Linked DNA regions of Bombyx mori. The protein of the gene in region 1 purifies or fractionates together with the protein of each later gene. This does not show direct contact. Links are inferred from orthologs where the notes say so. Each region holds a gene or a part of one and is shown on either strand. Other genes may lie near its edges. The genes, in order: rotamase Pin1 and DNA-directed RNA polymerase II subunit Rpb4.

Region 1 (4,604 bases):
AATTTAACCGTCCAACAAAATATAATTTTGGCTTTCGCCGAAAAACCCAAACATTCAAATAGTTTTACTTCCTACTAGGCTGCACTAAAAGTATCGGGAATGGAATATTTCCACTGTTCCTGTCATATTAAAATATTTTTAATTGAAAACTCCTTGGTTTTAAAAATCGAATACCATTTATTTATTTAAAAAAAGATTCTCGGTCTTGTCACGAGGTTTTGTCAAACTTGTTTAGTCGTTGAGAAAATGGAATTGACTCGAGAAAATTCAAGAGCGATGATTTATTATGACTTTCGAAGTGGTTTAACACAAAAACAGTGTGTTGACCGGATGATTTCTGCATTTGGTGATGAAGCCCCATCCAAAACCCCATTTTAGCGCTGGTTTGCTGAGTTTCAACGTGGACGTGTCAAGCTTAGTGATGATCCCCGTCAAGGTCGTCCAAAAACTGCAGTCACCCAAGAAAACGTTGATGCTGTGCGTAAGCTGATTGAGGAAGATCGACATATGACATACCGCGAAATTCAGGCAACTTTAGACATTGGCATGAGTCAAATACAAATAATCTTGCATGAACAATTAGGTGTAAAAAAGTTGTTTTCCCGATGGATACCGCATTCGCTCTGTGAAGAGCAAAAAGCGGCTCGCGTTACTTTGTGCGTCAGAACTCTCGAAAGATTCCACGCAGGATCCTCAAATGCTGTATACAACATTGTATCAGGTGACGAATCCTGGATATACGCGTACGAACCCGAAACAAAAAACCAGTCACAAGTTTGGGTGTTCGAAAATGAGTTAAAGCCAACAAAAATTGTTCGTTCACGGAGTGTTGCAAAAAAAAAAGGTGGCCACGTTTGTCTCCAAAACCGGCCATGTTACGACTATTCCTCTTGAGGGACAAAGAACGGTTAATGCAGATTGGTATGCTAGTATTTGTTTGCCACAAGTCGTTTCTGAACTCCGTAAAGAGAACTGCAACCGCCGCATCATCCTCCATCACGACAATGAGAGTTCTCACACCGCGCACAGAACAAAAGAGTTTTTAGCAAGAAAACATAGAATTATTAGACCATCCGCCGTACAGCCCCGACCTAAGCCCTAATGATTTCTATACTTTCCCTAAAATAAAGAATAAATTGCGTGGACAGAGATTTTCATCACCTGAAGAAGCTGTGGACGCCTACAAAACGGCCATTTTAGAGACCCCAACTTCTGAATGGAATGGTTGCTTCAATGATTGGTTCCGTCGTATGGAAAAATGTGTCAAATTTCGCGGAGAATACTTCGAAAAGCAATAAATACATTTTTAAATAGTAATGTTGTCACTTCGTTAATTCCCGAAATTTTCAGTGCCGCCCTCGTTTAATATACACCTACTGTCAATTTCATTCGTTTTATTCATCGTCATAGACAATTTGTACCTACACTGAATTCAACAGTCAACTGAGTCAACTTTGCGTTTCATTCTCTAATATATTAAGTGTATAATCTATGCGTTTCATCATTTGTCTCAAAAGGTTCGTAACGTTAAGAATTTTCTTCTACAATTAAGTAAGTAGAAATGCTTTCCATAAAAAGATAGAGTTCTTAATAAATTCAGATATTTCAAGGATTAGGTTAAAATGGTATGATAAATATGTAACAATTTTCAGGAAAACGTAAAAACCTATTGGCGTTCCCGGCACAACGCACCAACGACATGGCTTCTACTCAAGAAGAAATTCTTCCTGAAGGATGGGAAGCTCGCAAGAGTAGAAGTACAGGTAAATTATGCGTTTGCAATTAATACCTATTATGTTTCTTTTGTTAAAATAACATAAACGATTAATCAAATTTCTAATCAATCAACCTAAATCAATAGAATGTTATTGATTTCTAAGATAAAATGGCAGACATTGAGTGTAAAATGTTGGTAGGTAGATTTATATTTCTCGGATCGATATCGAAACAACGAAGACCATCTATGTGTTTATATAAATTTCATTGAGAAATTGTTTTGATTATTATATAGTGATTACTAAAAACTACTTTCAAACGTTTTTATTTTTGAAGTGCTTCAGTGAGTTTTTATTAACACTATTTACTGTTGATTCGGCGTCTTACGAGCCCGCGCTGTAGGAACCACCAGCCTGCCTATTCTTGTTAAGTAGCTATTCCTTTTTGGTTTGTAGGGTGGGGCAGTCATACAATTGACATCGAGACTTGCACCTCGTGTGTGATGTGTGGCGCTGTTTACATTATGATATTTGATGAGCTCTGCAATGTTTGCAGTGGAAACCATTTAACATTAGTGTGTGTTTTTTAATGTTCTCCATAGCATATAAAAATTAACTCAAATTTGTATGCAGTTGGAACAACGCCCCTAGCGGCAAACGTAGGCAAAGTTTCCAACTCCATACAAACTTAAGTTAACTTTTACGCCATCGAGAATGTTATAAAACTCGCGTTAAGCACAAAGATTGACTGTGAGCTTGTCGACACATATATACATACACATAAAAAAGTATAAAAGAACTGGTTCACAATATTAAATATTCAATTTAAGGTTTTGGGTATCACAGCCATAGTTAAAAAAATAATATAAAAAGCTGTTGGCATAAATTTGACTATGCGACTATTATGTAATATTTTATAATAAATACTTATTTTACCTGTTTAATTTTGTATTCACATTTTACAATTTTAACTGTCTGAAAAATTATTATATATTGTATTGTTTTAATCCCTACCAGTTTATAATTATTGTAATTGGTATCAACAATGATGCACTTGTAACAGCAGATAAATAGTTGTGACCAATTCAAATGGTCATCTGGTCTTTGGCTGGGATTGCTTTTGCTATTGGAACCAGAAACTATAGATTATCCCTTTCTGGCTGAGCCTGTGCTCGCCCACCTGTCCTGGTGAAATTGGAAGGGCTCCAGGCCACCAGTATTACTTCCCAAAAAAGCTATAAATTACATATTTTTTCTTTTTTTTTATAAGTCGATTAAAGCTAACAGATCAGTACATAATTATACACTAAAATTTTATACTTCCCATACAATTTTCTTAAAAACAAATCCATGATACAAATATAAAGGGTTGAAATAAGTAATGGGAATAATGCCGTAAATAATGCACTTTACCAACGTGGTATACTTTACCATCATAGTAATAACTTGGACTGCCCAAACTGTGAAATCTATACTAATATTATAAAGATGAAGAATTTTTATATTTGTTTGAATATTCTAATCTCAGGACTTATTGGACTTAATTAAAAAAATGTTTCAGTGTTTAGCCCATTTATTGAGGAAGACTATAGGCTATATAACGTCACATTAAGACCAATACAAGTGCAACACTAATAAACAATGTTTCAAAAACGGGGTGTTTTCCTTTTGAGAGGTTCTGCTGGTTAAAGTTAGCCAAATGAATGAATGACAGAATTGTTATCTTTAAAAGTTCTGAAATAGTCTACGGTAGCATAATAATGTGTCCATATTTTAAGGTTGGCTCACTATAACCTTTTTTATGTCAACAAAATTCTAAAATGAAGCATTCTTTGTGAAGGTGTTATTATAAAGATAATATTAATCCTTATCTGTATCCTTATTATCCTTAACACCTATCCATACAATCTTCTTATGTATTAGTGAGAATTTGTCCTGTTCACTGACAGGATGGACTAACATGTGAGTCAATTTTATGCTGAAATTTAATAGTTGATTCATTTTAGGAATGACATACTATCTCAATAAGCATACAAAAAAGTCTCAATGGGAAAAACCGGGTGGACCAGCTTCTGATGATGATGATGAAGATGATGATGATGAGGGTGGTATTCCCAAGGAGGTAAGATGCAGCCACTTGCTTGTAAAACACAGTGGAAGCCGCCGACCATCCTCATGGCGTGAAGAGCATATTACACGTACTAAGGAGGAAGCTCTTGATATATTACAAGGCAAGATATTGAATTAATATAAATTTTATTTATTCCCATCATCAACGGCAAATACAAAATAAGAATCAAATAATTTCTTTAAAAAATAAAATATCTATTAAGTTTAAACTTAATTGCTTTAAAAAAACACTTGTCTGTTCACTGTTGGAAGATTATTCTCAATGCATAATGCAAAATACAAATTAAATACATAGTAAAATATAGCTTTTTTTCTCTGTGCAAAATTAAGTCACTAAAAATAACATTTGAAAGTATTATTATTTTCAGAGTATCGCCGTAAAATCATTGACAGAGAAGCTAAATTTGAAGAGCTGGCAAGTACATATTCTGATTGTTCATCAGCAAAACGTGATGGGGATTTGGGTCGTTTCAAGAAAGGTCAAATGCAGAAACCATTTGAAGACGTCGCATTTTCCTTGAAAATAGGACAATTGAGCCAACCAGTTCACACTGACTCTGGCATTCATATCATTCTTAGAACTGCCTAAAGATTGTTTTCACAGTTAATACTACTTAAAAAAGTGTAAAACAATAATATCAAACTTATATACCCACAATATCGCAAATACAATCAAGTATAGATCTTTTTCTTTCTACTACATAAATTGAGACTGTCTTCCTTTTTTTCCAGCATTCTTGAAGAAGTTTACAATTGATC
Region 2 (4,350 bases), on another chromosome or scaffold:
GGACGAGCTCACAGCCCACCTGTTGTTAAGTGGTTACTGGAGCCCATAGACATCTACAGCGTAAATGCGCCACCCACCTCGAGATATAAGTTCTAATGCCTCAAGTATAATTAAAACAGGTTCCCCACCCTTCAAACTGAAATGCATTACTACTTCACGTCTAAAATAGGCAGGGTGGTGGTACCTACCCGTGCGGATTCACAAGAGGTCTTACCACCAGTATGTTTCAATAAATAATAATAATTTTCACCTGTCACAATTTTTTTTAGTTTGTACTCCTTTAAGAGTGATTCATATGTATTTTTAACACAAGCATGAATTCGGCCTACTGACCATGTCAAAATTACTGGCTGGTCAGTCGACTGCAATTTTGATAGTGAATCCAGTTGATTTTTTAGTATTTTTATACCTGAAATGAAACATTTAAATATGACATAGTTCAGTTTTGCATTAGAATTAGATTGATTAGAAAGTTAATGTATATTCCATTCCATTAAATTGTTTAAACTGTAACATTATTAAAAGTAGTCTCACATACTCCAATATTGTAGTTGATTGTTAGACTAACATACATCATTTTACTTACCCTCGATAATATTTTGAAAGCTATCTATAATTTCAACTAAGCCCTCAGTCAATGGCTTCAATAGGTGCGGATAATAATCATCATTATACTCGTGCAGTTTCACTGATGAGATCCCTTTACAAAACTTAGAACCTTTATCTTTTAGTTTGACCCAATCAATTAACAAACTATGAAACGAAGACACATGTGAAAATACAGTCTTTGATAAGCCTGGTTGGTCTTTATTTGGAGTTGTAATCTCTGAAATAATATCATTTATTAAATTACTTACTATTTCAATCGACATGGACAACAGAAATTTTGTTTGTTAAACTTTTTCTTCTTAATCGATGATGGGCAGACAAACTCACAGCCCACTTGATAATAAGTGATATTGATACCCAGCAACGTAACCATAATAGTTTATAAATCAAACTCTATGTAAATAATTACCTCTAGGTACAAAGTTGATAGCCAATTCTTTTATTGGAGTTTTGGACATTACGAACTTATTACTTAAATTTGAAATAAATATCTTTAGCCGAGTCTCTAAGTAGATAATAAAATTGAAGTGTTTTTGTTCTTCTTAATTTTTCAATATTGCAATTGGCTTACAGCCAGCGGTTACAAGACCTTCTAGTCCAGCTATAATATAATTTCTACGTAAAGAGCACGTAGAAATTCTAATCTGATAAATCAGAATTCATATGAAGCTAAATGAGATGAACTTAACTAATGTTAGTCTTTAAATTTGAGTGACATTATATGAAACTAGGATGTTTTATGATGCGTAAGCCGGATCGCACAAGAGGTGGGAAAAAGAAGATAGTCTGTGACACGGGACCTTTTTACCGCCGGGAGTCCGGGACTTTTTGGCGGGAACGCGAGGAGTGAAGTTGTGTGATTTGTTTTATTTTGTCGATTTAGTATTTCTTCAGGTTTAAATGTGTAATAACGGTGATTTATTAACTGTTTAATATCTGTGAAAGTTCACAAATGTGGGAAAATGCAACAAAGCCGCTGAACATAACTTCCCCGGAATCCTCCAAAAAGTCCACTGAAAAAAGGACATGGACCATACATTGCACGCCCCACTAAACGAACATCATCATCAGCTTATCTATTATTTATATTTATCGATTAAATATGTTAATATATTTTGCTAGTTTTTTGTAATACATTGTTTTCTTTAAGAAGATTTAATATGAATTATTTAAAATATAAATATATTTTACCCATGGCAGCTCCTTCAATATTATCAATGTAGCTTAATCATGCTTAAGTATTTCTTTTTATTTATGCTTTTGATTATCCCACCATTAAAATACCCTTAAATTTTATAATAAGTATGTAAAAATGAAATGTTTTTTTCTATAGATATTTTATTAATGTCCTTGAGGGCACGAGTAGCTGGGCCGAAAATGGCCCATGTCCTTTCATTAAATGACCACCATTTTACTGAGATTATATTTCATCCCATATCATCTCATCTCACTATATTTAATTTCATCTTACTTGATTATTGTCTCAAATTAATCATCTTCATTGCATTTCACTTCTTTCCATTATATAATTTTTCATAAAATTAAGAATATGAATTAAAATAAGACATGACCTAAAGGTCTTAGTTGAGCTGGACATAAAATACCCAAAAAAATTTTTTTTACCGCTGAATATTTAAAGGACGAAAAAAAAAAATGGTATAACTTAGAACTGTATAAGCCGCTGCAACAATAAAACTCCTATTGTTTCAAGTGTGGTGTTAATTACATAAAACACGATTTTCCCGCGAAATAAAGAAGGGACTTTATACGGACTCCCTCAATGGGATGAAATAAAATCGTCTCAGTAAAACAAGGATTATTAACTGAGAGTTCAGTGGACGTGACTAATGGATGCTCTGGATGAAATTTAATGAAACTAAATGGAATGAAACGTGTTAAGATGAAATAAATTAAAGATGTTCCAGTAAAATAGTGGGAATTTATTGACACTTAAGTATACTATCGAAGTAGTAGGTAGGTAGACTATCGAAGAACGTAAGATGTGCCGGGGCCACGGTAGTCAAAGTTGATCAGGTGATAATTGTGTAAGTGTGAAGGCTGGAATAGTTTCGACACAGGTAATTATTTTCATTTGAGAAGTAAGAATGGAAAATTTATCTAGTGGGTATTATTTTTCAATCATGCAACGTGGTGTTAAAATTTACATAAGCCAACTACTGTTCGCGATTTTGGAGCAATCTTTTTTCCGTGATAGTTCCCATTACAGAATCCTTTGCTAAATCGACTAATCTCCCTTTGCCTGTCCAAACTAGGGATGGTCTGTAACAGGTGAAATTAGAGACCTGTTCCACCTGTTCCTGTTCCAGCGAAAGAACAGTTCCAGTAGCCTGTTCCAATATAACAGCGTTTTGTTTTGCAACAGGTTTAATAATGTTTTAAATAGAATATGTCCACTTATAGGAACAGTTATAACATATGAAATGGTTTTAATACATTTTTTTAAATGAAAACAATCCTTCATGCTTTCTCAGGCTTAGGACTGACAACTGAATTTATTAATATTAATGATATGTGAAGCTAGTTTTGCCAAAATGTACTTAATACTTTAAATACTAACTAATATTGGCGAGGACTGCTCTCCCTCCGCGCCTCCGGTTTTTTATATACACTCTAGGGGTAGGGCAGACAAGACCAGGTGGAAAGTGATGTGCTCTGATTCGGTTTTCGATATTTTACGAATATTTTTGCAGTTTTATATCCAAAACACGAGCAATTTTACTGTTTTATATTTAAATCTTGTTTAAAAAGTTAATTTATTACAGAGACAGATTTTTTAGATGAGTGGACGAGCTCACAGCCCACCTGGTGTTAAGTGGTTACTGGAGCCCATAGACATCTACAACGTAAATGCGCCACCCATCTTGAGATATAAGTTCTAAGGTCTCAATTATAGTTACAACGGCTGCCCCACCCTTCAAACCGAAACGCATTACTGCTTCACGGCAGAAATAGGCAGGGTGGTGGTACCTACCCGTGCGGACTCACAAGAGGTCCTACCACCAGTAATTACGCAAATTATAATTTTGCGGGTTTCATTTTTATTACACGATGTTATTCCTTCACCGTGGAAATCAATCGTGAACATTTGTTGAGTACGTATTTCATTAGAAAAATTGGTACCCGCCTGCGGGATTCGAACACCGATGCATCGCTCAACACGAATGCACCGGACGTCTTATCCGTTAGGCCACGACGACTACGGGATTTTCCCGGGGATGAAATCCCGTCTTAACATTAGTACGGGTACCGCCTAAGGCGAGACTTTCGGCGCGCATCGCGGTACCGTAAGTTTCGTGTAGTCGGTGTGGTGGAGCTCGATGGGGTTTAGTCGGTAGTCGTTCTGCGGGGTAAGTGCTTCGCGCGCCTTTTTCAAGGCGTAGTCTCCTATGAGAAATTGGGGCAGGTGAAGGACCTCGGCCCTTCTCTTCTCCCCTTCTTCCTCTCAGGAGGCCAGGCCAGGAGGCGCCGGAGTCCGACATAACCCGGTCCGTTACCCCCCTCGACCGGGTAGCGTATTTCCATTTCCGTGTTCATTAGGAGGCAGTACTGCCTTGAAACACGCACGGGTTTGTCGCGCTAGCTTCCTTTACAAAATCGTGTTCAATTCAAGGCACGTGTCCTCAAATCGCGCACGGGTTTGCAACGCCAACTGCCCTTCTAAACACGTGTTCAATTCAGGGTACGCGTCCTCCAATCGCGCACGGGTTTGCAAGTATGCGC

What was found.
Region 2: the proteins of rotamase Pin1 (region 1) and DNA-directed RNA polymerase II subunit Rpb4 purify together in Homo sapiens (co-immunoprecipitation; 3 studies listed by BioGRID and IntAct, with this or other methods). This does not show direct contact. The link is inferred for Bombyx mori from reciprocal best matches to the Homo sapiens genes PIN1 and POLR2D.

Annotation. Positions count from the first base shown.
Region 1 is NC_085107.1:9,297,177-9,301,780, forward strand, and holds the start of rotamase Pin1, read left to right. Parts: upstream 1-1,492; 5' UTR 1,493-1,551; intron 1,552-1,652; 5' UTR 1,653-1,699; coding exon 1,700-1,763; intron 1,764-3,721; coding exon 3,722-3,946; intron 3,947-4,213; coding exon 4,214-4,434; 3' UTR 4,435-4,604. UniProt on the Homo sapiens protein: Peptidyl-prolyl cis/trans isomerase (PPIase) that binds to and isomerizes specific phosphorylated Ser/Thr-Pro (pSer/Thr-Pro) motifs.
Region 2 is NC_085114.1:9,607,340-9,611,689, forward strand, and holds the start of DNA-directed RNA polymerase II subunit Rpb4, read left to right. Parts: upstream 1-1,403; 5' UTR 1,404-1,513; exon of another isoform or gene 1,514-1,522; intron 1,523-2,320; 5' UTR 2,321-2,687; intron 2,688-4,350. Other genes in the region: uncharacterized protein LOC119628842, read right to left, coding at 251-409, 587-826, 1,019-1,067. UniProt on the Homo sapiens protein: Core component of RNA polymerase II (Pol II), a DNA-dependent RNA polymerase which synthesizes mRNA precursors and many functional non-coding RNAs using the four ribonucleoside triphosphates as substrates.